2 linked regions of the Macaca fascicularis genome follow. The protein of the gene in region 1 interacts with the protein of each later gene in a pairwise test. Links are inferred from orthologs where the notes say so. Each region holds a gene or a part of one and is shown on either strand. Other genes may lie near its edges.

Evidence for each region.
Region 2: the proteins of APPL1 (region 1) and FSHR interact in a two-hybrid assay, tested with the Homo sapiens proteins (2 studies listed by BioGRID). The link is inferred for Macaca fascicularis from reciprocal best matches to the Homo sapiens genes APPL1 and FSHR.

Annotation. Positions count from the first base shown.
Region 1 is NC_088376.1:120,331,417-120,343,857, forward strand, and holds part of APPL1 (DCC-interacting protein 13-alpha), read left to right. Parts: intron 1-71; coding exon 72-130; intron 131-3,619; coding exon 3,620-3,766; intron 3,767-4,943; coding exon 4,944-5,026; intron 5,027-5,767; coding exon 5,768-5,926; intron 5,927-6,938; coding exon 6,939-7,127; intron 7,128-9,544; coding exon 9,545-9,587; intron 9,588-10,896; coding exon 10,897-10,953; intron 10,954-12,441. UniProt on the Homo sapiens protein: Multifunctional adapter protein that binds to various membrane receptors, nuclear factors and signaling proteins to regulate many processes, such as cell proliferation, immune response, endosomal trafficking and cell metabolism.
Region 2 is NC_088387.1:73,034,697-73,047,137, forward strand, and holds the end of FSHR (follicle-stimulating hormone receptor), read left to right. Parts: intron 1-4,997; coding exon 4,998-5,183; intron 5,184-9,678; coding exon 9,679-10,912; 3' UTR 10,913-11,131; downstream 11,132-12,441. UniProt on the Homo sapiens protein: G protein-coupled receptor for follitropin, the follicle-stimulating hormone. Through cAMP production activates the downstream PI3K-AKT and ERK1/ERK2 signaling pathways.

The sequences.
Region 1 (12,441 bases):
AAGACCATTGAAAGCATTTGTAAGTTTTGAAAAGTACTGTTGTATTGTTAACACTCGTTTCTTTTTTCCAGATCATGATGCTGCAATTAACAGATATAGCCGATTATCCAAAAAAAGAGAAAATGACAAGGTGTGATACACATTTATTCCTTCAGTGTCATGATTAACAACTATTCATTAGGTGGTCTAGTTTTTCCTCTATCAAAATAGAGCCAGCAGTTACTTTGTATGTTTTGTTATATTACCCTTAGTTTTTTCTTTCCTTCTAGCTGTTCGAAACCTTTCTGATAATCATTGATCTCTTTAAACAAAATATTTTCTTCGGCCAAAATTTGATTTTATAAGTAAACATAACTATTCTGGAAATGTAACTAATACCCAGTATATAACATTGCCTCTTGTTGCTTTGTATTTCGATGACATGGCATTGGTTCTGTTTGAATATATATGTGTGTTCAAAAATGTCTTCTGAGATAGAGTGGTCAAGAAGTAGAATTGTCACACACATAATGAAATTCTGTTATGAGGCCCTCCTTATTTACAGAAATATATATCTTTTGATATTTGTTCAAGGAGTGAAATACAGAAATATTACACTGTATTTGAGGAGAAATGCATTCAAGTAAAGATCAGAGAACAGAGTATTAACAAGTTCTTCTGGGCGTGCCTTAAGATCATGTCTTTCTCCAGCACCTAGTCCAAAGCTTGATGTGTAGGTCTTTCTAGATGCTTGTGACTGAGGTGATCTCTGTGCCTGGGTGTTGGTGTCTGTAGCCTTGGCTGCAGCTGCTGTTGGAAACACAGTGACTGCTTGTGGGAATCCATAGTTGGGTACAATTTACTGTGCAACAGCTACTGTGACAAAGGAAATGTTTCTCACACAAAGTTTAGTATGAAGATTGATTTCCTTTTCGTTTTCTAATTTTCGCTGCAGACTACTACTTAATGGTGTATTGATAAAATGTATACATTTTAAGATCTCTAATAGTCACTTGGCCTTAGAGAAGTAGTCAAAGGCTCTAGGTATAAAATTTGATATATTTTACATTACTTCTGGCTGTTCAAAGTATTTTAAAAAACACTTTTTCACCAACTTCATTTTATTTAAAAATTCATTGAGTACCTAATATATGTCAAACAGTCTGTTGGGTACCTTGGGGGAACAATGGGAATAGGCTTCACTCCTGCCCTCAAAGACTGGATACTCCACATTTATTGAAGGCTACCTGTGTGAAGGCATGCAAGTCGACTAGGAACCAGAGTACAAGGATGACAAGAAGGCATGGATTAACTCTGTTATTAGTTAAATACAATAATAGGGGTTTTAATAAAATGCGGAGAGAGCACAGAGAGGGGAGCAGTTAGCTTTGATTGGTGAATTGGGAAAGGTTACACTTTTTTTTTTGAGACAGGGCCTCATTCTGACTCCCAGGCAGGAGTGCAGTGGTGCTGTCTCGGCTCACTGCAACCTCCACCTCCTGGGTTCAGGTGATTCTCCTGCCTCAGCCTCCCCAGTAACTGGGATTATAGGTGTGAGCCACCATGCTCAGCTAATTTTTGTATTTTTAGTAGAGGTGGGTGTTCACCGTGTTGGCCAGGCTGGTCTCAAACTCCTGACCTCAGGTGATCCGCCCGCCTCAGCCTCCCAAAGTGCTGGGATTACAGGTGTGAGCCACTGTACCCGGCCAGCAAAGGTTACACTTTTAAAAGGTGACATTTACATTGAAGATAAGTGGATAACACTAGTTTGGAATTGGAGATTGCTTTCCTGAAAGAAAAACAGCCTTTCAGAGGCACATGGTGGAGTTGGGAGAGTGTAAAGGTTAGGAGTACTCTGTGACAGTAAAGGAAATGTTTGGAGATATGGCAGAAAGAGTAAGAAGTATATTGGTACCAGATTACTATATTAATGACCTTGAAATTTGTGTTAGAGGGAGTGGACAACCGCCAAAGGATTCTAAGTAGGTGAATAACATCATGCAGTTGTGTTATAGAACAAACATACTAATGAAAATGTGAAGAGGACAAGAGTAGAGGGAATCCAATGAAAGGAATTGGAATAGTTTGCAAAGATATAATGAAGGCCTCAGCTAAGGTTGTTACTGAAAGTGGAGAGGAAGGAGTACTTTTGAGAGATATTTCTTTTTTTTTTTTTTTTTTTTTGAGACGGAGTCTCGCTCTGTTGCCCAGGCTGGAGTGCAGTGGCCGGATCTCAGCTCACTGCAAGCTCCGCCTCCCGGGTTTACACCATTCTCCTGCCTCAGCCTCCCGAGTAGCTGGGACTACAGGCGCCCGCCACCTCGCCCGGCTAGTTTTTTTTGTATTTTTTAGTAGAGACGAGGTTTCACTGTGTTAGCCAGGATGGTCTCGATCTCCTGACCTCGTGATCCACCCGTCTCGGCCTCCCAAAGTGCTGGGATTACAGGCTTGAGCCACCGCGCCCGGCCGAGAGATATTTCTTAAGTATGAGTTGACAAGTCTTGTGGTAATAGGAGGAATAAAAAATGAGTCCTAGATTTCTTGGATGTCTGGATGGATCCTGTAGTAATTAAGAGAGCTAAGAAACAAAGTAGAAGAACAGGTTTTGTGTACAAAACTATTTTCAGTTTTGTACATTTGTAGCACATAAACACACATAAAGAACCCAGCTGGAGATGCGTTTCCTCTGTCACTTGGGAGAGTGAGAGGGAAGAGATAAAATTTGTGAGTCATTGATATATTGGAATATTAGAATATTCTTGGTACTTGAGGATTCTAAGGAAAGGAGGAAGACAGAAGAACATAATGCCTATTACATAATAGGTATTCAATAAATATATGTTGTCTGAATAAAAGAACTCTAGGGAGCACACATATTTCAAGTATGGGTGAGGGAAGACAAGCAAGTACAAGAGAGGAAGACTGATAGGGAGAGAACCAGGAGGGGAGACTGGTATGCTGTGAACTGATCAAAGTCAAAGACTAATGGCTAACCTAATAACAAACAATTGTCTGCCCTTCCTCCATGTGGTAAGCTTTCTCTGCCATGCTTAGTTTAGTTACTGTACCATTCTTAGTTATGTACAGAATTCTGTTTTCAATATGCCTTTTTTTTTTTTTTTTTTTTTGAGACAGTCTCTGTCGCCCAGGTTGGAGTACAGTTGTGTGATCTTGGCTCACTGCAACCTCCACCTCCCAGGGTGAAGCTATTCTCATGCCTCAGCCTCCCTAGTAGCTGGAATTACAGGCATGTACCACCGCACCCAGCTAATTTTTTTCCATTTTTAGTAGAGACAGGGTTTTACCATGTTGACCAGGCTGCTCTTAAACTCCTGGCCTCAAGTGATCTTCCTGCCTCGGCCTCCCAAAGTGCTGGGATTACAGGCATGAGCCACCACGCCTGGCCTCAATGTGCATTTTGTAAATTATGTGGTTGGAAGGAAGTTAAACAGGAAAATTCGCTTAACCAGTATGTTGAAGGATTTCTAAAAGATCAGAAACAGGAACATCAATGCTCAATTGCTTGTGATACACCTTTTCCTCGGTGGGCTCTTCTCCACAGCTCCTACTGAAGATAATACAAAATTAAGTAAATAATAGTAGATTATTTACTTAATTATTTAAATCTTTTCATTCAAAGGTGAAGTATGAAGTAACAGAAGATGTGTACACGTCCAGAAAGAAACAACACCAGACCATGATGCATTATTTTTGTGCATTAAATACTCTTCAGTACAAGAAGAAAATAGCATTGTTAGAACCTCTACTTGGGTACATGCAAGCTCAGGTAAATACTGTACTGTATTTTGGATTATAACTGTCCTAAAAGCTTTATATTAAGCTTGATATTTACATTAAGTATAAAGATTTATAAACTATTTTCAACATCCTTGTTCATGTCTGTGGAAGTAATTTTAAAAAATGTCATCAGACTGTTATTTTAAGGAAGTTAGGAAGAATGGTTTTCCTTGCAAATGAAGATTTCAAATATTTTAGGGTAAATGAAACCACTTGTTCACCGTAGCTGGGGACTGAGAACAGAAAGCTAAATGAATTTCAGAGTTACACCTATTGCTGGAGCTTCAACTAAACACTTGCTTCATAATAGATCTGAAAGAGAATGAACAGGTTTGAGTTTATCCCATATTCCTTGCATACTTCCTGAGTTAAAAATAATAGATGAACTCCAGCGTGCCCCAAGGTACATCAGGAAGGGGGCTAGAAATTTGTTTTGGGTAGTATAAGACAAAGTGTCAGTCTCCTAAAAATTAAGAGTTTAAAGAAAATTGAGGCCAGGTGCGGTGCCTCATGCCTATAATCAAGCACTTTGGTAGGGCCGAGGTAGGAGAATCACTTGAGTCCAGGAGTTTAAGACTAGCCTTAGCAATGTAGGGAGACCCCATCTCTACAAAAATTGAAAAAATTAGTTGGGCTTGGTAGCATGCCTCCATGGTCCCAGCAACTTGGGAGGCTGAGATGGAAGGATCCCTCGAGCCTAGGAGGCTGAGGCTGCAATGAGGTGTTACTGTGCAGTCTGGATGACAAAGCGAGACCCTGTCTCAAAAAAAAACAAAAAATTGAATCTATTTAAGTAAAAGAGTACTTTACTGATTATTCCTCAGATAGAAAACTTATCTTTGTAGTAAACATGAAATACTTTATATAATTTGTTGGAAATACTTTAAAATTTATTTTCCAATTTTAAAAGATTGTTAACCATACATATGTATTACTTGTTCCAATTCAAAAAATATAAAAGGATATGTAGTGGAATTTAAGTCTAACTTCCTTAATGGCTCCATGTGCAGTAGAAATCACAAACTACAATGTATTTTTACACAAATGGGAATATTCCTTTGTTTTTTACCTAACCATGTATCTTAGAGATTGTTTATATGATTTACTTTAAGTATTGCTTAATGTATTTTTGTATTGTTCAATTCCCCCGACTCCCTGCTCTCCAGATAAGTTTCTTTAAGATGGGTTCTGAAAATCTTAATGAACAACTGGAAGAATTTTTAGCTAATATTGGAACAAGCGTTCAGAAGTAAGTATTTTTTTCCTTAAAATTGAAAATGAAATGATGTGAATGATAGCTTAACAGCTCAGTGATATAATGTAAAGATATTTATCATTTAATTTCCTGAGTGAATATTTTCCCTGCCATGAGAGTTTCTTATATGGTTCATGGTTACTTCTTGTTTTTTTTTTTTTTTTACCTCTTTTTTCCATAGATTGTGAACTTCGAATTTCTTAATGGTGATAATTTGATTCTAAACTCAGTTTTATGTCTGAATAAAACAGACACATAATAGTAATTCCCCATAAGTGAAATTATCTTTAAACTTGAAATTGTGGGAGTTTAATGGGAGATTACTAAATATTGTTTCCACGCCATGAAAGCTTAAAGACAGAGAGAAAGCAGTTCTCATCAGGTTCAAAATGCTGAGCAATATATGTGGTCTGTCCACGGTATGGAGAGAGATGAAAGTGATTGTTGTTTTAAAGGCACAGGACCTCTGTTTTAAAGGCGCAGTTTGAAAATTATGCCAAAATCAGGGATTCAGTGGGGCTTCATTCATTTTTTGAATTTAGTATTGTTTCCAAAATATCTAAGTTTCAAATAAACTGTAAACCTGTTTTAAAATGTATTTGTGTTGTTTTAACCACGCATGCCACATTTCCTCTCTTTAAGAAAACATATCCAAAACAAATATGCAGGTAAACATGATTAGTAAGGAGTTCTACATTGATTGTGATTTATAGTAAATAATCTGTTCTGTATCAGTGTTCGCAGGGAAATGGACAGTGATATAGAGACCATGCAACAGACAATAGAGGATTTGGAAGTAGCCAGTGATCCCTTATATGTGCCTGACCCAGACCCCACCAAATTTCCTGTTAATCGAAATTTAACCCGAAAGGCTGGATACCTTAATGCTAGGAAGTAAGAAAACTATTGTTATTTTTGTATATTGTATATCATGTAAGACAATACCAAATGAATATAATAAATAATTGATGTCTGTCATATTGTTTTGATTTTTATTAAAGGTTGAAACTTTTTAGAGGTGTTAGTATTATGTGAACTTTTTGACAGATGAGGTACGTAAATACTTTTCAGAAGTAAAATCCTACCTAGCTATTTATTGAATAATGTAGAATGATAAAAGAAGTGAAACCAAGGCTGGGCGTGGTGGCTCACACCTGTGATCCCAGCACTTTGGGGGAGACCAAGGCAGGTGGATCACCTGAGGTCAGGAGTTCGAGACCAGCCTGGCCAACATGGTGGAGCCCCACCTCTACTAAAAATACAAAAATTAGCCGAGCATGGTGGCTTATGCCTGTAATCCCAGCTACTCAGGAGGCTGAGGCACAAGAATCACTTGAACCTGGGAGGCAAAGGTTGCGGTGACCTGAGATCGCGCCACTGCACTCTAGCCTAGGGGACAGAGTGAGACTCTTGTCTCAAAAAAAAAAATGAACTGAAACTAATTTGAGTTTAAGTAAATATTCACATATGGTATCATCACATGAGAATGCTGCGAAATATCATTTATCATACTTTAATATATTTGTAATTATAGCACCAAGTCAAATGTTAGTTTTCACCTGATGATAGGATGAAGCAGGTTAACCCTAGAAATAAAATAAATTCTATTGTTTTGAATTTACTCCCTTGGAAGTTGAACTATAACCTGTATTTTATGGATCGTTATTATAACAGCCACAGTTTGATAATTTCCAGCCTTGTTTTGGAAACTGTATATACATTCACAAAAGTGAGTCAATATACATGAATTTATTTTAGAGACTGAAAGCATATTTATATTTATTTTCTTGGCATCTTGGTGCCTTTTCGGAAGCCAGTTCTTTGTAACATGCTTTATCTTGTGTCTAGCTGATGATGAGATTCAGGTATGTTGTTATTAAAGAGTGAATGTGCTTTCTTCATTTAGTAAAACAGGCTTGGTGTCATCTACCTGGGACAGACAGTTTTACTTCACGCAGGGTGGAAATTTAATGAGTCAGGCCCGTGGGGATGTAGCAGGAGGCCTGGCCATGGACATAGACAACTGTTCAGTGATGGCTGTGGACTGTGAAGACAGACGATATTGTTTTCAGATCACCTCTTTCGATGGAAAAAAGTTAGTATTTTTTCCTACTACTAATTATCTATAATATTTTAAACTTCTGAAATGTGGGATAATTCCTTTTTGTTTAGAAATTTTATGGACATTTTAGGTTCATATGTATTAAGATAAATTGCTTTTTAATCTTGTAGAAATATATTGAATTTTTGTTTCTGACTTGGTTAAATGGTTTGTTGATATTTTGAGGTTGTCAAAGAAATGTCATATAGTAAAGACCTGTGATTTCATGTTAGGGAACTGGAACTGAAAATCCTGTGTAGCATCGGGGAATACAGAACAAGTTCATGGAAAGAGTCCTAAACCTGGAGTCAGAAAGTTCAAATTCTGGATCCATTACTTACTCTGTGGTCTCAGACAGCAGAGTAATGTCTGTAACCCCTCTCAGCTCCATTTTTGTTCATGTAAAATGTGAGTGGGGGGGGTTGTAATCCCTACTTCGTAAATTGTTGTGAGGAACAGAAATTCTAACATATGTAATATGACTGACATACAGTAGGTGCTAACAACAGTGTTATTTTAAAATGTTAATCAAATATTTCTGATCAGATTATTTTTCCATTAATGTTTATAATACCATTTAAAAAAATTTCTATTACCTTTTTTTGAGGTGGGGTCTTACTATGTCTCCCTGGCTGGAATGCAGTGGTGTGAACATGGCTCACTGTAGCCCCAACCTCCTGGGCTCAAGGGATCCTCCCACCTCAGGATCCCAAGTTGCTAGGATCACAGGTGCATGCCACCATGTCTGGCAATTAAAAAAAATTTTTTTTGTAGAGATGTCTCATCATGTTGCCCAGGCTGGTCTCCAACTCCTGGACCTAAGTGGTCTTCCTGCGCTAGCCTCCCAAAGTGCTAGGATTATAGGCCTGGGCCACCACGCCCAAGCTTCTATTACTTTTGCATTAAATGAGAATCTTTAAAGTAGCATTTAAAAGAAATTTTCAAAAAGCATGGAAAGTTTAAAAAGGAGTATGAAAAAATTCTACTGTCTTATTAATCGAAAGCAACAATTAACTTTTTTGTCCATTGCCTTCCAATTTTTAACCTAAGTACATTTTTAAAATAGTTGAAGAAATACTGTAATTTGGATTTGCAGCCACCTATTAAAAACATGTTATAATGGCTATTCTATAATCTATTTAAGGACATACATTATAATTTAAACATTTTCCTAATGATAAATGTTTAGACTATCTGCCATTTTTCCCCCACTCAATTAAAATACTGCTTTTAACCTTTGAACTTTCTTAATTTAATAATCAGGAGCAGCCTCTGGGTTCCCTGAAAGTCATTTTTTTCCCCTGTATTTATGCACATTAAGATATTATACAAATAAATAAATTTGACCTTTACCCCTGAAAAAAAGATGCTATAGGCCAGGCTTGGTGGCTCACGCCTGTAATCCCAGCTCTTTGGGAGGCCAAGGTGGGTGGATCACCTGAGATCAGGAGTTTGAGACCAGCCTGGCCAACATGGTGAAACCCAGTCTCTACTAAAAATACAAAAATTAGCTGGGCATTGTGGCAGGTGCCTGTAATCCTATCTACTTGGGAGGCTGACGCAGGGGGAATTGCTTGAACCCAGGAGGCAGAGGTTGCAGTGAGCCGAGATCGCGCCACTGCCTTCCAACCTGGGCAACAGAGTGAGACTTTGTCTCAAAAAAAAAAAAAAAAAAAATATTATAGCTCACTATCCTTTATCAAAATGGTTGTTTAATTTCACATTCCTTCTACAAACATACAATGAATGCCAATATTGTGTGGATTTATCCCACTAGATATTGGGAATCACTGTATTCATTTATCAAAATTACCCACTTGTTAACATGTTACTTACTATAAGTACTTACTTTTTGTTTAATGCTTACCTGATTTCCCATTTCATATTCCTGGTGTGATGCAAAATTAGTAAAAATTATTATTTTCTCTAACTCTAATATTATATCTATAGAAAAGTGAATTAATGATATGTTAATGATTAACATTGAAATATTTGATTTAATATTAAAGGAGAAATAATGAAGTAAAGTTTTTGCTATTAGGATCATTGATGCATATTTGAAATATATATGATAAGTTCATAATATATAGGAAATATATATGATAAGTTGAAATGTATTGCCTTCACTGAAATGTAACTTTGTCATGGTCTGTCTTCTAAGGATCAGCACCTGTTTCCTTTTTGGTACATCTTGGGATAGGTAGCCAAAGTCAGAGTTGTTAAAGTCTGCATCCTGATACCTCTGGTGGTCTCCTTTTCCTAAGATACTGTTGGTTGTGTTTTGTTTTTGTTCTTTTAATACCGATTGGTTTTTATACATGCCTTTACCTTTAAAGATTAAAAAGTTCTCTCAGATTATGTTGAAAATACTTTTTTAAACAGTTGAGGCTCAAATGTCTCTTCTCTTCCAGATCTTCAATTTTGCAAGCAGAGAGTAAAAAAGATCATGAAGAGGTAAGATTTTACTTAGTTCATTTCTTCATTGACATTTAAAAATATTTCTCTGATGACAAAACATATATTAATATGTTTATTGTAGAAATTTTGGAAAATCCTAGTTAATTAAAAATCTTTCTTTTTCTTTTTTTGGTAAAGGTCTATTGTCCTTGAGCAATATTCTTGTTTCTCACAGAATTTTGTAGAGGGAGGGACCTTAGAGATCATCTCTGCTGTTTTAAAGACTCAGATTGAGAAATGACCTTGTGACTGTTGCTGTCTGGCAGGCTGTTAGTATCATGAGGTGACAGTTTAATTTACTGTCTTCTCTCACCAATCCTTTGAGACACTATTTGCTGCACTAAGAACATAGTGGCAGCAGATGTGACATGGCAAGGAAACAACTAAAGCTGAAAATCTTGGAGAAATGAAAGATAGAAAAACAAAAATTTGGGAGTCTCTGTTCTTCCTCATGAGCCTTTTCTTTTTGACTCCATTTTTACTCCTACTATATCAGATATGGAAGGTAAGGTATTAGCAATAATTGATGCTTCAAACCTTTATCTTGAGAAACATTCTTCCATGAAAATATATCTTAGCTTGATTTTTCGCCTTTTAATTTGGCATTATAATTGTGTTGGTAAAAGATAAAAGTTGGAAATGCTATAGAGATCTACCTTTATTTACTTCTTATGGAAAAGAGTAATATTAAAACTTGCTTTCGGTCTCTGAGGAACACACACAAATGTCTCTGTTCTCTGCATAATTTACCAAATAAAATATTTGTTTAGATTAGTGAGGCTCATCAGGCACTTCAATCCTCGAGAGTGAAGCAGAAGATGTAGAGTGGAGATTGTTTTCTATGCTAATTATTTATAAACTTGACAGAAGGGAGGCATGTAAAATATATTCGCCAAGAATATATTTGTCTTTTAAGTTTTTTTTGCATTTGTGTTTATGATACCTGAGTTCACACCGTCTTGTTTGGTGGGGATTAGGAGGGGAAGTGATATAAAAAGATAAATATAGATTATTAAGCATAATTTAACATGATTGCTGTATTTTTTATTTTCTTATGTGAATTAAACTTGAGATTCTTATATAAATCTACTGAATGTTTTCATATATTTAAATAATGAAAATGTTGAATGTTCTTTTATATATATTTATACGCACCCTCTTTATGAAATGTTTTCTTATAAGGAAGATAAATGGATTACTTCTAATGAAACATCTGTTGCAGTTGAGTATTGAACATTTGCCTTTACAAGAGAAGCTTTGTAGAAAAAAATTATTAATTATATTTTTCTATTTTTTTCTCTTGCAGTGGATCTGTACAATAAACAACATATCTAAACAAATATACTTAAGTGAAAATCCAGAGGTAATATTTTTATTTTATGTTACCCAGATCTAACAAAATTGAGTAATTTTGTGGCTTACATGTTTTTATTAATTCATAATTTTTCAAGTTCTGTAATTTTTAAATTTGGCCTTGAATGGGTAGATTTTTTTTTTTTTTTTTTGGAGACAGTCTCGCCCTGTTGCCCAGACTGGAGTGCAGTGGCCTTATCTTTGTTCACTGCAGTCTCCACCTCCCAGGTTCAAATGATTCTCCTGCCTCAGCCTCCCCAGTAGCTGAGATTACAGGTGTGTGCCACCACACCCAGCTAATTTTTGTATTTTTAGTAGAGACAGGATTTGGTCATGTTGGCCAGCCTGGTCTCAAACTCCTGTCCTCAGGTGATCTGGCCATCTTGGCCTCCCAGAGTGCTGGGATTATAGGTGTGAACCACTGCGCCTGGCCTGAATGAGTAGCTTTAATGTGCCATATATGTAATGAATGGTCTTCCTAGAACAATAAATTATTTCAAAAGATACTCAGCTCAGTCAACCAACAAATATTTATTGGGTGTTGACTATTTAACTCTGTGTTGAGCACCATGAAGAAAGGAAATACAGAAGAAAATTGAGCCATGGCCTCTGCCCTCTAGGAGCCTATCTGTATGGAGAGACAAAACTAAAACTTTAAGTAACATTTCAGATAAAACAGGATGTAATTGAAAGCATATGGTGATGACTAAAGGCTTAAGTTTTGAGAATAGTTTTGAGAATATTAAGATCAGTGTGGACTTTAGAGAAAACTCTGTGGAAATGGTGGAAACTTGAGTTGGGTAGGATTTGTTTGTGTTTTGAGGAAAAGAAGACACAGTGCAGATAAGAGAATAAGTACAAATGCAGAAATGGCAAATTTATGAAACTGTAGTATAATTAAAGATTTTTGTTTTTTTTTTTTTTTGGAGACAGAGTCCTACTGTGTCGCCCAGACTGGAGTGCAGTGGCACTATCTCAGCTCACTGCAGCCTCCGCCTCCCAGGTTCAAGCGATTCTCCTGCCTCAGCCTTTTGAGTAGCTGGGACTACAGGCCTGCACCACCATGCCCAGCCAATTTTTGTATTTTTAATAGAGACAGCGTTTTGCCATGTTGGCCAGGCTGGTCTCGAACTTCCAACTTCAGGTGATCTACCTGCCTTGGCCTCCCAAAGTGCTGGGATTACAGGCATGAGCCACCATGCCCAGCCAAGTTAAAGGTTCTTCATAGAGAATACAAAACTGAAATGTGCATACAAGTCACTTAGGGGTCTTGTTAAAATGCATAATATGATTCAGTATGTCTGGGGTGATACAGCGTGAATTCCCAGTTTTGCAAATTATACTTTGTGTAGTAAGGATATCAAACCAGATGAACTCTGAAGTGTAGATACAGCCATAGGTGCAGTCCAAACATACAGGTAGAACACAGGGGTACAGAGAATCCTTGAAGGAGTCAAGTGGGTACCGCAGCATAGTTGGAAAAGGACTTGACTCTAGG
Region 2 (12,441 bases), on another chromosome or scaffold:
AAATCTGGCTGAGGAGACAAGCAAATATAAATGAAAAGACAATCATAGGAAACAATAGAAGACAAAACACAAGGTGCAAGATTCTGCAATTTGTGGAAGTCAGAGAATATCACAGTTGGCTGGGGTGATCTATTTCCTTTCCTAATCCTTCTCCAGTGTCACTCCCCAGTACATCTTCAAACAAAGCAATAAGTTTCTGGGTACTTACTACATGAAAGGCACTGCTGAGAATGCTACAGACTTCTACCTTCAAGGAGAGATAAAATACAAATAGTGCATAAAGCAAAAGATAGTCAGTGGTAAGAGAGGCAAAAAGTATACAGACTATATCCTATTGCACTCTTACTGGTTTTCAAGGAAAAATTATCTCTTCAACTGTTAAACATTATGGAGACCTCAATGGGGTTTGTTTTGGTTCTCTATTGCCTCATTAAAATTTAATGGCTTAAAACAACCATTCCATTTTGATCACAATTTTGTGTGTCAGACATTTGGATGGCGGGCCCTGATCCATGCAATGTCAGCTCGGGTGGCTGACTGGGGCCAGGGTGGGGGCCGGGAGGGGGGTCCACTTCCAAGTTGTCCCCATCACTTATGTGCCTCACACATCTGTGTTTATTGGGTGTGTTTGTGTGTGTGTGTGTCTGTGTTGTGTCTTCTCTAACTCTGTCCATACGGTTTCTCATTCTCCAGGACCTCTCTGCATGGTTTAGGCTTTTACCAATATGGCAGCCTTAGGGTATTCAGAGATTTTTCATGGCAGCTGAAGACTCTGTAAGACCAAGGAGAAGATGTCAGTGCTCTTAAAGACTAGATCTATAATGAATAGCAACATTTCTATCATATTCTTTTATCCAAAGACATCACAGTTCTGCCCAGATTCAAGGGGAGAACAAACAGACCCTCGATGGAAAAGTGTCAAAGAATTTGCAGTCATCTTTAATCCACCACAGAGTACATGAGATAACAGAATGATATTCTATGGAGTATAAAAATTTGTTTCTCTTTACAATCTTCAATTAATCCAATTTTTATGCTGTAAACCTAAGAGGGAGGCATAATTAAGAAAAATAATCTGCTTTGTATTGCTTATTTTGAAAAATGTGAAAAATGTTCAGGAGAGGCAATGATGGCCTTGGTCTAAATTGTTCCTAAAGGACTTCTAAAATGTTTTTTTCATCATGTTTCTTGGAGTGAGTCCTGCCTGAATTGTTATAGACAAAACAGGGAGTTGAGTCTCAGCCTTTGTTCTTTCCACATTTGAGAAAAAAAGAGGAACCCAAATGCCAGATAAGAACTTGGTCACAGAAAACAGGGCAAGTGTCATTAACAGAACTGGCTAGAAGAGGGGTTGCCAAAAGAGAGGAACAAGATCTCCTGCAGCCAATAAAAAAGTTGGAAATCTCTAAAACAATAGGAAGTATAAATGGAGAGAAGGCAGAGACAGCAGCAGACAGCAAAGATTCATCACAGACACAAGGGTTCATGGACCAGACTCTGATCTCCAGGGACCCCAAATCTGAAGAATCATAATAGGGAGGGAGCTAGACAAGATGCCCTGGACCACCAGAATGTTTACCTTGTGGTGATAGCAATGAGTGTTGTGAGAAGTAATTAGATTCCAGATGTATGTGGTATATAAAGTCAAGAAGTGTTTCTGAGAATTTTGATGTAGGGTATGAGAGAAAGAAAGGAGTCAAGGTAGGCATCAAAGTTTTTGCATGAACAACTGGAAAGGTGGAACAGATTTTCAGAAAAGATCAGGAAGGCCATTTTTATTATCCAAAGTCTGACCTGCCTATTAGACAACTAAGTGAAGATAAGGAGGCAAGTAAATATGAGTCTGGATTTCAAGAAAAAGAAGCAACCTAGAAATACAAATTTTAGAGCCATCAGCATATAAGTTGTATTTATGTCATAAGACTGGATGAGCTCACCTGCAGAATAAGTGAAGATGGAGAAAAGAAGTCTGGGCACTGAGTTCATGGGCACTCCTCAAGTTGGAGGTCACGGAGGAACCAGCAAATAAGAAGAAACTTCCAAGGAGTTAGGAGACAAGTATTACTAGATATACAGAAAATTGCCAGGAAGGTATAAAATTTCTAGATTTGTATGAGCCTTAAGAAGTCATCAAACATACATAGAGCAAAAATTGACAAAACTAGAAGTATAGGAATCCAAAATCATAGTTGGAGATTTTAATATAATTTTCTCAGTAGTGACAGAACAAAGCAAAAAAATCATTAAGTATATAGGAGATTTGATCTAATTAACAGCTAACAAAGAGGGGACTATGTGTAAAATACACACACATACAAATACACACACACGTAACATAAAGGTAATTGTTCTGAAAATGTAAATCTTCCTGAATATCAAACAGGGGATCAGCAGTCCAGAGACTGGCAATAGTAACCACTACTAACTCTAGGACTTGAGGAACAAATGAGGAAGTCATCTTACTGATGTCCAGAAACTGGGGCAACTAGTAGAAGCTGGATCCTCCAAGGATCTGTTCAACGAGAGGTGGAGTCACGGAGAAGACTCCGTTGCTGCCTGAGACAGAGGAGGGATGAGATATGCTCTTTTACCTACCCTCCAATCTCCTGCTAGTGCCATTTGCTAAACCCAATTGAAAGCTGATTGGTAAGGTGGTACCTGGGAAATGGAACTGCAGGGATCATCCCTCCTAAGAAGAGCATAGAGAAGGGCATGACATGGATGTGAGAGACAACAGGCAAATGATCAACACACTGTATACAATGTCTTGTTCTTCATCCTAAGAGCAATGGGGAATCATTAAAGGGTAATCTCATAGGCATTTTTTACATCTGCAGTACTAAGATTGCAATAGATGTTCATAAGGACAGTTATGAGACCAATGCATTTGTCTAGGCAGAGATTGTGGTGACTTAGACCAAAAGTAACAGAAGAAGAGGGAAGTAGGCTGATTTGAAACACGTTTAAAAGTTAGGCTTGAAAGAACAAGACACCGATGTCGATGAGAGAGTCAAGGATGGCACCCAGGTTTCCATTATGAAAAACAGGGGAAATTGGAAGGGTCATTTGCTGAGATGGAGAAAACAAGGAAGAACATATTTACAAGAAAGATGGTAAGTTCAGTTTTGATGCAAGTCATCAAAATGGTGGAGTTCAAAAAACAACTGATTATCTGGACCTGGAGTTCAGGAGTAGGATCTGAATAGGGATACACATTTTGGAAGCCATCAGCACATGCCTGGTATGTGAAACTAAGGGAATGAAAGAGATCACCTGAAAAGATTGGGTATAGTCAGAAGGGGTCTAGGTATAGAGAAATGCCAAAATTTAAACAACAGATAAAAGAGAAGTAAAACAAAACAAAAAAAAAATCAGAAAGAAGTCAACGGAGATGTCAGAGGAAAATATGTTGAGTAGAATATAATGCCAAGAAAGAGAGTATCTCAGAAAGAAGGAGCATTCTACCTGTGAAATGTAACTACAAAATAAAGGAGATCAGAACTAAGACATGGCCTTAGTGAATATTATTTCCCCAGAGGCTAAAGAGAAACTCAATTGAATTGTGAGATGAGGAAATAGTGACATCAAGTATAAACAACTAGTATAAATGTGCTTGGGAAATGGAAGTGACAAATAAGGCAGTAGTTAGGGATGGGTTTCACTGGACAATAGGAAGGCATTATAAATTTTTGAGCAAGATAATTATACAATGAAAACAAGACTTTGAAAATGTAATTTTCACCAGATTGTGAGAGCATATGGGGTAGCAAATATATATTCACACCCCCAAGTTTCATTACTCTGAGTGTCTACTGCTTTGATTTACAGGGAATGCCAACATTAAAGATTCTTCTTCCTCAAGTATATACAAGGGTCCCCAAGGGTGCTGAAATGAACTCATCCTGGTCATCACTTGCTACCACCCCCATCAGAAGCACCCACTCATGGCCAAGCTGTTGGCCCCAACAGGTCCAAGCTGGTGCCATTTAAATCTCCTTGTTCTCACCAGCCAGTCTTGGTTTTGAAGTTTGCAACTACCAGTGGTGCTGCCAGAAAAGCACCCACATCACTGGTGCTGCTGCCAGGAAGGATGGAACTTGCAGCCCATCAGGGGCAGAGACCTGGTTAAACTGGTCATTTGTGCTGAGGTCTACTGGACAGAGACTTTCCTACCAAACAAGAATAACTGTCTCTCTCTCTCTTTCTGTCTGTGTTATATTTATGAAGAATAGTTGCCAGCCATTAAGTGTTTCTGTTGGTCAGGACATTCTTTATGTACTTTAACTCATCTAATTTTCACAACAACCCTCTGAAGTAGATAGGATTTTTGTCTTCCCATTTTACAGCTGAGGAAACTGAAACATGGAGAAGTGACATACTTGACCAAGGTCATAAATCTAACAGGCAGAGGGGCAAGGTAGATGTGCAGGCAGGTCTGCTGTAGATGCCAAGTTCGTAACCACCACTCTGCACTGCCACTTGGACTTTGTGCCAACACTGCCCCTACTGCCTGCCAGACTCTTCTTCCTCTTGTAGTATACTTCCTTCTTGTCCTTTTTCCTGAAATTTGGCCACAGATTCTACTCTAGCTCATCAGAAATATTTTTATAGCTAGTTTTATGGTACAGACAAATGGTCTCAATCCCTTAGTCCCATGCAAATTAGCAGGTACAAATAGACTGTAGAAGGGAAGGTGGCTAATTCTACTCACCAGCAACACTTACATCCCAAATTAGCCAGGATGTAAGTATATCCAGGAATCAGAATGGCCTATTATCTAACTCCTCCTACCAGGAACAGAAGGACCAGGACTCCTACAGAACCAAATGTCCCATTAGCCAAGTATTGATCTGGCCAAGGTGTGTTGGAAGAACTGGAGTCTCTCTCCTCATCCACGTAAGAATATCACTAGAGTGTCTGCTATTTTGCCTGCTAACCAAGAGCAAAAAATTTCAGGTCCATAGTAATCCTATTATATTTACCTTTTCTCTTTATAGAGATATTTCAAGAACAAGGATCCACTCCCTGCCTAGCTATGGCTTAGAAAATCTTAAGAAGCTGAGGGCCAGGTCGACTTACAACTTAAAAAAGCTTCCTAGTCTGGAAAAGCTTGTTGCCCTCATGGAAGCCAGCCTCACCTATCCCAGCCATTGCTGTGCCTTTGCAAACTGGAGACGGCAAATGTGAGTCTATCCTTTGAGCCCTGCTCAGGGATTTCCCCAATGTTGAACTTAGTCCATAATTTCTACATATCTGCGACATGAAGAGAATCTACTTGCAGAGAGTTCCCTGTCTCAAGCCCTTTGGCACATTTTGGGTCAAAAATTCAGTTTTGTGGAGAGTGAGGAATGGTTGCACTCTTTCATTTCTTTGAAAATGGGCTCACAGGACAGGGCTACCCATGGGGCAGAACATATACCAAGTACTAAATGAGAAAACATGAAAAATACTAAGCATAGTGCCTGACTCAGAGTTGGTGCATAATATCTGTTCCCTCTTACCCTTGTACCTTTATAGATTTAATGTTTCAAGTCCCAAACTCTGCACTTCATAAATGCCCCATCCATGTCATGTTTGGCAGGGAGATGCATAAATGCCATGCCAGAGACTGATGTACACATCTGCAGCACATCCCAATCACTCTAAGCCTCTCTAATCCACCTTGGAATCTTACTACCTCACAGGGAGGAGAAAGATTAAGACATCTCATTACTTTGGCTTTCAAAGAAAGCCAGGTTCAAGGAAGCCCAGACTTAAAGAGGATGATCTAAACAGAGACAAGTCCTAGTACCTAACTGGTTAAAAAACTGAGGTAATCATAGAAAGGATCTGGAGAGAGTAAACAGAAAGTCGCCTTGGAGATTGTATGCACGCCCCAGACATTTAAACGATGCATTGGAGGTAAGAATTTACTTAGTATGAAAGTTCTAAAAGCTCTCACTCTCCTCTGAGCTCACCTACATAAGCCACACCATGTAGTTGCACTCAAAATGTTTTCCAAGTAGCTGGGAGTCTCTCCTCAGACCCTTCTGAAGGATTTGTAGAAAAATAGCTGTTTTTCAGAATCTGCATGCATCACTGGGATATTATCCAGAATGGGCACACTTCATAGATGAGCTCAAGAGCCAGGAAATTTCTCCCTGACACCCAGAATTCTTAAGGTCCTGGGCTGAAGCAGTGGCTTGCCTCTTTTATATTCCACGTAAGAATTATTCTATCCAGAGTGAGAAAGATACCAATTTTGCACCAAGTCCCTGGAACTGAATACCCCGAAGGAGAAATAAAGAACATTAAGATTGGCCAGGCGAGGTGGCTCACACCCGTAATCCCAGCACTTTGGGAGGCCAAGGCGGAACAACTCCTTGAGCCCAGGAGTTTGAGACCAACCTGGGTAATGTGGTGGGACCTCGTCTCTACAAAAAAATGAAGAAAATTAGCCATGTGTGGTGGCACATGCCTGTAGGCTTAGCTACTCGGGAGGCTGAAGTGGGAGGATTGCTTGAGCCCAGGTGGTTGAGGCTGCAGTGAGCCATCATCGTGCTACTGTACTCCAGCCTGGGCAGCAGAGTGAGACCCTGTCTTTAAAAAAAAGAAGAAAATGTTAAGATCACTGTGAGAGCAGCTTGCAGTGTGCTATTTGGCCCAGTTCCAACACACCCCAATAATTTGTTATCTCATCGTATTACTCAGACTCCTCTAGACATAGCCTCAAGGCTCTCCCAATTGGCATCTCCACATCTGCCTTATATTGTCCCAGGACATGAGGTCTTCTCTGATCCCTCCAGACCACTCTGCTCTCATCCCTCTAGGTTGCTGCTGTAACTCACCATCCAGGCCTGTTGGGGTACAGCAAGGAGGGGAATGTGGTTCTTCCACAACGTGCCAAAATGGAGTAACAAAAATTGTGATAGATGGTTTTCGTTTTTTATTTTTAGCAATGGGTATTTGATTTTTGTATTCATCAAATTCACACACACAAACACCACAAAATAATTATGTTATTCAGAAGATATTTTCAGATTTATTCCTTTGATAGTATCATTTCATTGTATATCACAGTAGGTGTGGTTTAGTAGTGGGATTCAAGTTTTAACTTGTATGATGAAATTATTCTGATCCTCATTTGGAAATAATGCCCAGAGTATAAACATGAGGCCCCTGTGACTAAAACTTTGGCCAGTGGTCCTCCTGGACTCTTTCTGGGCTCTTCCCAAAAGTTCCTATCAACTACACTCTTCATTTGTCATTGAACCAGATATTTCCTTGTCATAATTCTGTATTCAGTTTGCATTACTTTACTCTCATTTTATTCTTCAATTTTTATTGTATTTAACAATACAAGTTGTTTCTTCACAACACAATGCTGTGAAGGCCATTTCTTCACGATTCAATATTAAATTGACATGCTGTGGCATATGCTTCTAAGTACCCACACAGGGCCTATACCTCCACAAGAATTCCATAAATAACCACCATTTGTCTTCGTACTGCTGACATTTGCCGAGTATTCACTGCCAAGCACTGTAATACTTTGTATCTTTATCTCATTTAATTTCCACAAAGGTAACATGATTATTATTCGTTTCTCACAGAGACAGAAACTGAGGCTCAGAGATACTAAATAACCTGACCTACACTGACCAAACAAATCCAGATCTGCTCTGCCTGCCTCCAAAGCTCAGGCTCTGGGACACTGCTACACCACCCGCAAGCATCTGTTCACTGACTGATCAGAGTCCAAGAGTGCCACTTTTTAAACTGGCCCTAAACTGAATTTCCAAATCCTTATGATAGTTAGGATTTTCCAAAGTACTGTGGAGGCAAGGTTTGATGTCCCTCGGTTTCCACTTTTGTTTCTGTTCTTATCTCAGAGACATAAGTTATTTACTTTTCTCCTTACTTCATGTCAGTGGGTCACTTCTGTTTCAGAAAAGGGAAGCACAATATTTAAAATATGTGGACAGCAGCAACAACAATAAGAATCTTCACAGACGCCAACCATAAGTCCCAGGAAGTGAAGCCTGTTTCTAGAGAGTTAAGTAAGATCTCAATCCAATGAACCACACTGCAGTCAGCAAGTACCAGGTTACTTACTTTCTCTTCCTGGAATCAGGCTGCAGCTAGTTCATAACAGGGTTTAAGAGTTGGGAATTAGACTAAGGACCACAAGATAACCCTCTTATGCCCTCTACGCCCATTATGGAGCTTGCCTCACCTTCCTTGGAAGACCACTGACTAAATCAAAACATTTTCTGGGCTCTGTTTCCATTGACTTTCAATTCTGTATATGTTCATCATTGAGCCTTAAACAAACAAAAAGAATCCCTTAGGCCAAGGGAAAATGACTTCCTGGCAATTCAATTCACTTCCCAGGGGTGAGAGAAGAGAGGATGGGGAGAGATGGGGAAAAGTTCAGTCCATGTATAATAGGTTGGAACACCTGGTGAGACTCATCCTTTAGCATCAAATGGAGTCTTTACCTCCTCCACTCCCCTAGCCACTTCTTTCCTCCTTATGAGGGTTTTAATATTCACTTCCCCGCTTATATCTGAGGTGATGTCAAGGTTTAATAAAAATACAGTCAACTTAATATAGATGTGAACTTGCCCCTTGGGGAAGGAGGGAAAGGTATGCCTGTGTATGTGTGATTTTTTTTTTCATCCAAAAATGTCCCAATGTAAGGGTTATTCCCATTCCATAAGCCTTTACTTCCAAACTGAAATATTACCTTCCATGTCTCTACATCCAGAGTATTGATAGACTACTCTGGGGTAGAATATTTATAGGTATACTCATGGATTGAATATTTATCACCTGGATTTCATTCAAATCCCTCTGTAAGTACCTCTATGCTGTTCACAAGGCCCCTTGTACATTTGTGTTTAAAGGGAAAACCAAGACAGCAAAGTGAGCCCAAGGAGACCTAGGCTGCCCCGAGGATGAGTTACATTCTTAGAATAAATTAGGTCCTTTTGCAACTTGCACTTGCTCTTTGGGGCACTCACTAGGAAACTAATATGAGACAGCCAGGCTTACCTTGCAGACAAACACATGTCTGAGGCCTATTGTGGCCCCCAGAAAGTGAGATAATAAAGAACAGGAAAGACCCTGGTAGCATTGCAGGCAAATTAGCTGGCCTCCTAATAGCCTGAGAACCAAAGAGCCAGGGAACAGGGGCTGGCTGGGAACTAACTAGATTTTGATCCCCTAATTTATGTAGATAAGAGAAGCAAATAAGTTCTCATTTGAGTGAGAGAACAGTCTGGATCTTCCAGTGATTTGAGTGTAGAAGAATAGGAATATCTCCTACTCAGGCATATTAAGAGATAGCTGGATCAAGATGAGAGAAGGAAAAGGGTAGAGTTGATACCAGGTCTGTAAATTATTTTCACTTAACAGCAAGGCTTAGTCTCAGGCGCCTTCCTCCCCACATTCAGGTTGTGGCAAGATGGTTTCCCCAGTGGGCCATCCAACTCTAGTAATATATATACAAGTTGTTATATTCATTTACAGTAAGCAGCATTAACCCTTGAGCTTAGCCTCAAGGGCAGATACGATGTGAGAAGAAACAAAAAATCTCGGGAGGAAACCCATCATTTCTACCCTGCACAAAGACAGTGATGTATTTGCTATTCTGGATCTGAGATGTTGATTCTATTTCTTTTTGTATTTTTCTAGTTCTGAGCTTCATCCAATTTGCAACAAATCTATTTTAAGGCAAGAAGTTGATTATACGACTCAGGCTAGGGGTCGGAGAGCCTCTCTGGCAGAAGACAATGAGCCCGGTTACAGCAGAGGATTTGACATGATGTACAGTGAGTTTGACTATGACTTATGCAATGAAGTGGCTGACGTGACCTGTTCCCCTAAGCCAGATGCATTCAACCCATGTGAAGATATCATGGGGTACAACATCCTCAGAGTCCTGATATGGTTTATCAGCATCCTGGCCATCACTGGGAACATCATAGTGCTGGTGATCCTAACTACCAGCCAATATAAACTCACGGTCCCCAGGTTCCTTATGTGCAACCTGGCCTTTGCTGATCTCTGCATTGGAATCTACCTGCTGCTTATTGCATCAGTTGATATCCACACCAAAAGCCAGTATCACAACTATGCCATTGACTGGCAAACTGGGGCAGGCTGTGATGCTGCTGGCTTTTTCACTGTGTTTGCCAGTGAGCTGTCAGTCTACACTCTGACAGCTATCACCTTGGAAAGATGGCATACCATCACCCATGCCATGCAGCTGGACTGCAAGGTGCAGCTCCGCCATGCTGCCAGTGTCATGGTGATGGGCTGGATTTTTGCTTTTGCAGCTGCCCTCTTTCCCATCTTTGGCATCAGCAGCTACATGAAGGTGAGCATCTGCCTGCCCATGGATATTGACAGCCCTTTGTCACAGTTGTATGTCATGTCCCTCCTTGTGCTCAATGTCCTGGCTTTTGTGGTCATCTGTGGCTGCTATACCCACATCTACCTCACAGTGCGGAACCCCAACATCGTGTCCTCCTCTAGTGACACCAGGATCGCCAAGCGCATGGCCATGCTCATCTTCACTGACTTCCTCTGCATGGCACCCATTTCTTTCTTTGCCATTTCTGCCTCCCTCAAGGTGCCCCTCATCACTGTGTCCAAAGCGAAGATCCTGCTGGTCCTCTTTTACCCCATCAACTCCTGTGCCAACCCCTTCCTCTATGCCATCTTTACCAAAAACTTTCGCAGAGATTTCTTCATTCTGCTGAGCAAGTTTGGCTGCTATGAAATGCAAGCCCAAATTTATAGGACAGAAACCTCATCCACTGCCCACAACTCCCATCCAAGGAATGGCCACTGCTCTTCAGCTCACAGAGTCACCAATGGTTCCAGTTACATACTTGTCCCTCTAAGTCATTTAGCCCAAAAGTAAAACACAATGTGAAAATGTATCTGAGTGTTGAATGATAATTCAGCCTTGCCTTTGAAGGGTATGCCACAGATAGCTGACAGTGGTTCTACATATCTCATCTAATTTAAGCTTCCTGGCATACCTTTAAGGTAAATTGGTCAGGAACTATTAATTCCATGTGATACATTGGGAAGCTGAATTATTAGTAACAACAATAATTAAAGAATACAATACTATATTACATGTTTTATCCTTATATATGTTGTTTTTGAACATTATGTACAAAGTGCTTTTGTTCAGATTATCTCAACTGATCCCTGTTAAATAAGCAGGACAGGGATTATTCTTGGAGTTTTACAAATGAGGAAACTAAGACTCAGAGTTAAGTGACTTGTTCAAAATTGTTTGGTTTGTCAGAGGCAGAGCCAGGATTAGGTATTCCAACTCCCAGAGAATTTCCAAGAGAAGCACCATGGTATTCATTCATTCATTCATTCATTCAACAAATATTTACTGAACACCCATTTGAAGCCTTTGTTATGCATCAGTGTAGACAGGCTAAAATACATTTCCCAGAATTCCCTTCCTCATGTGTTTCCAATTAGAGTGGGCCATAGTGAAGACTCTAGGAAAACAGGAGGGCAGAGGAAAACGGCAGCCATTTTGTAGCTCAGCACACTGTTGCTGATGCTGACTCAGCTTACTGCTGTAAAGCAGCGGCTGGGTCTCCAATTGCTCCACCTTTCCCTGGATCCTCCTTCAGGTTCTCAGACTCATCCTGGGCCAGGTATATTTGTTAAGTTCCATGAAAAAGGGTCCAACCTCTGCAGGGCACTTTCATCACCAAGGTCAGAGGCAACAAGAAAGTAAGCAGGGCTCAGGGTGTGCTTGTGGAATTCTACCTGTGCTGCTGCTTCCAGCATGCTGTGATCTTCCCTTTATGATCGCCCACCCTGAGGACTTCTAGCTCTGGCATCAGCTGTGGAGACATCCTTACAAAGACAGGTTAACCAGCTCCCCACAACTGTGTAAGCCTGTAACAAATATTTACCACCTATATGTATTTACATGCATGCAAATATATCACTGGTTCTGCTTCTCCGCTTGAACCCTAACACCTATTATATGACGTGCATATGGATTGTAATGTTAAGAACACAGCAGTTTGGAATCAGACAGCACTGAGATTTTCTTAGGACTCCACAATAAGCCAGGACCTGACCTCACTAGGCTCAGCTGCCATTTCTGTAACCTAGAGCTGGTTATATAGCTAACTTTTGAGCTTATTGTAAGAAGTAGATAAGAAAATGGTTGTGAAGTGCCTAGTGCTGTAACTGGTGTGGTAAATGTTGGTTCACTTCTCTCCTCCCAGACCTGTGCCTGGTCTAGTGCCTTCTCCTGAACCTCAGTCTAGAACTCATTCCATTATAGCATATTGCTCTTGATAAATAACCATACTACCCACATCTATTTTATAAATGACCCCATCTGGATATTTTCGGTCATAAATACCAACTATAAATTCCACCAAGCTCTGAGCCTTGGCTAGC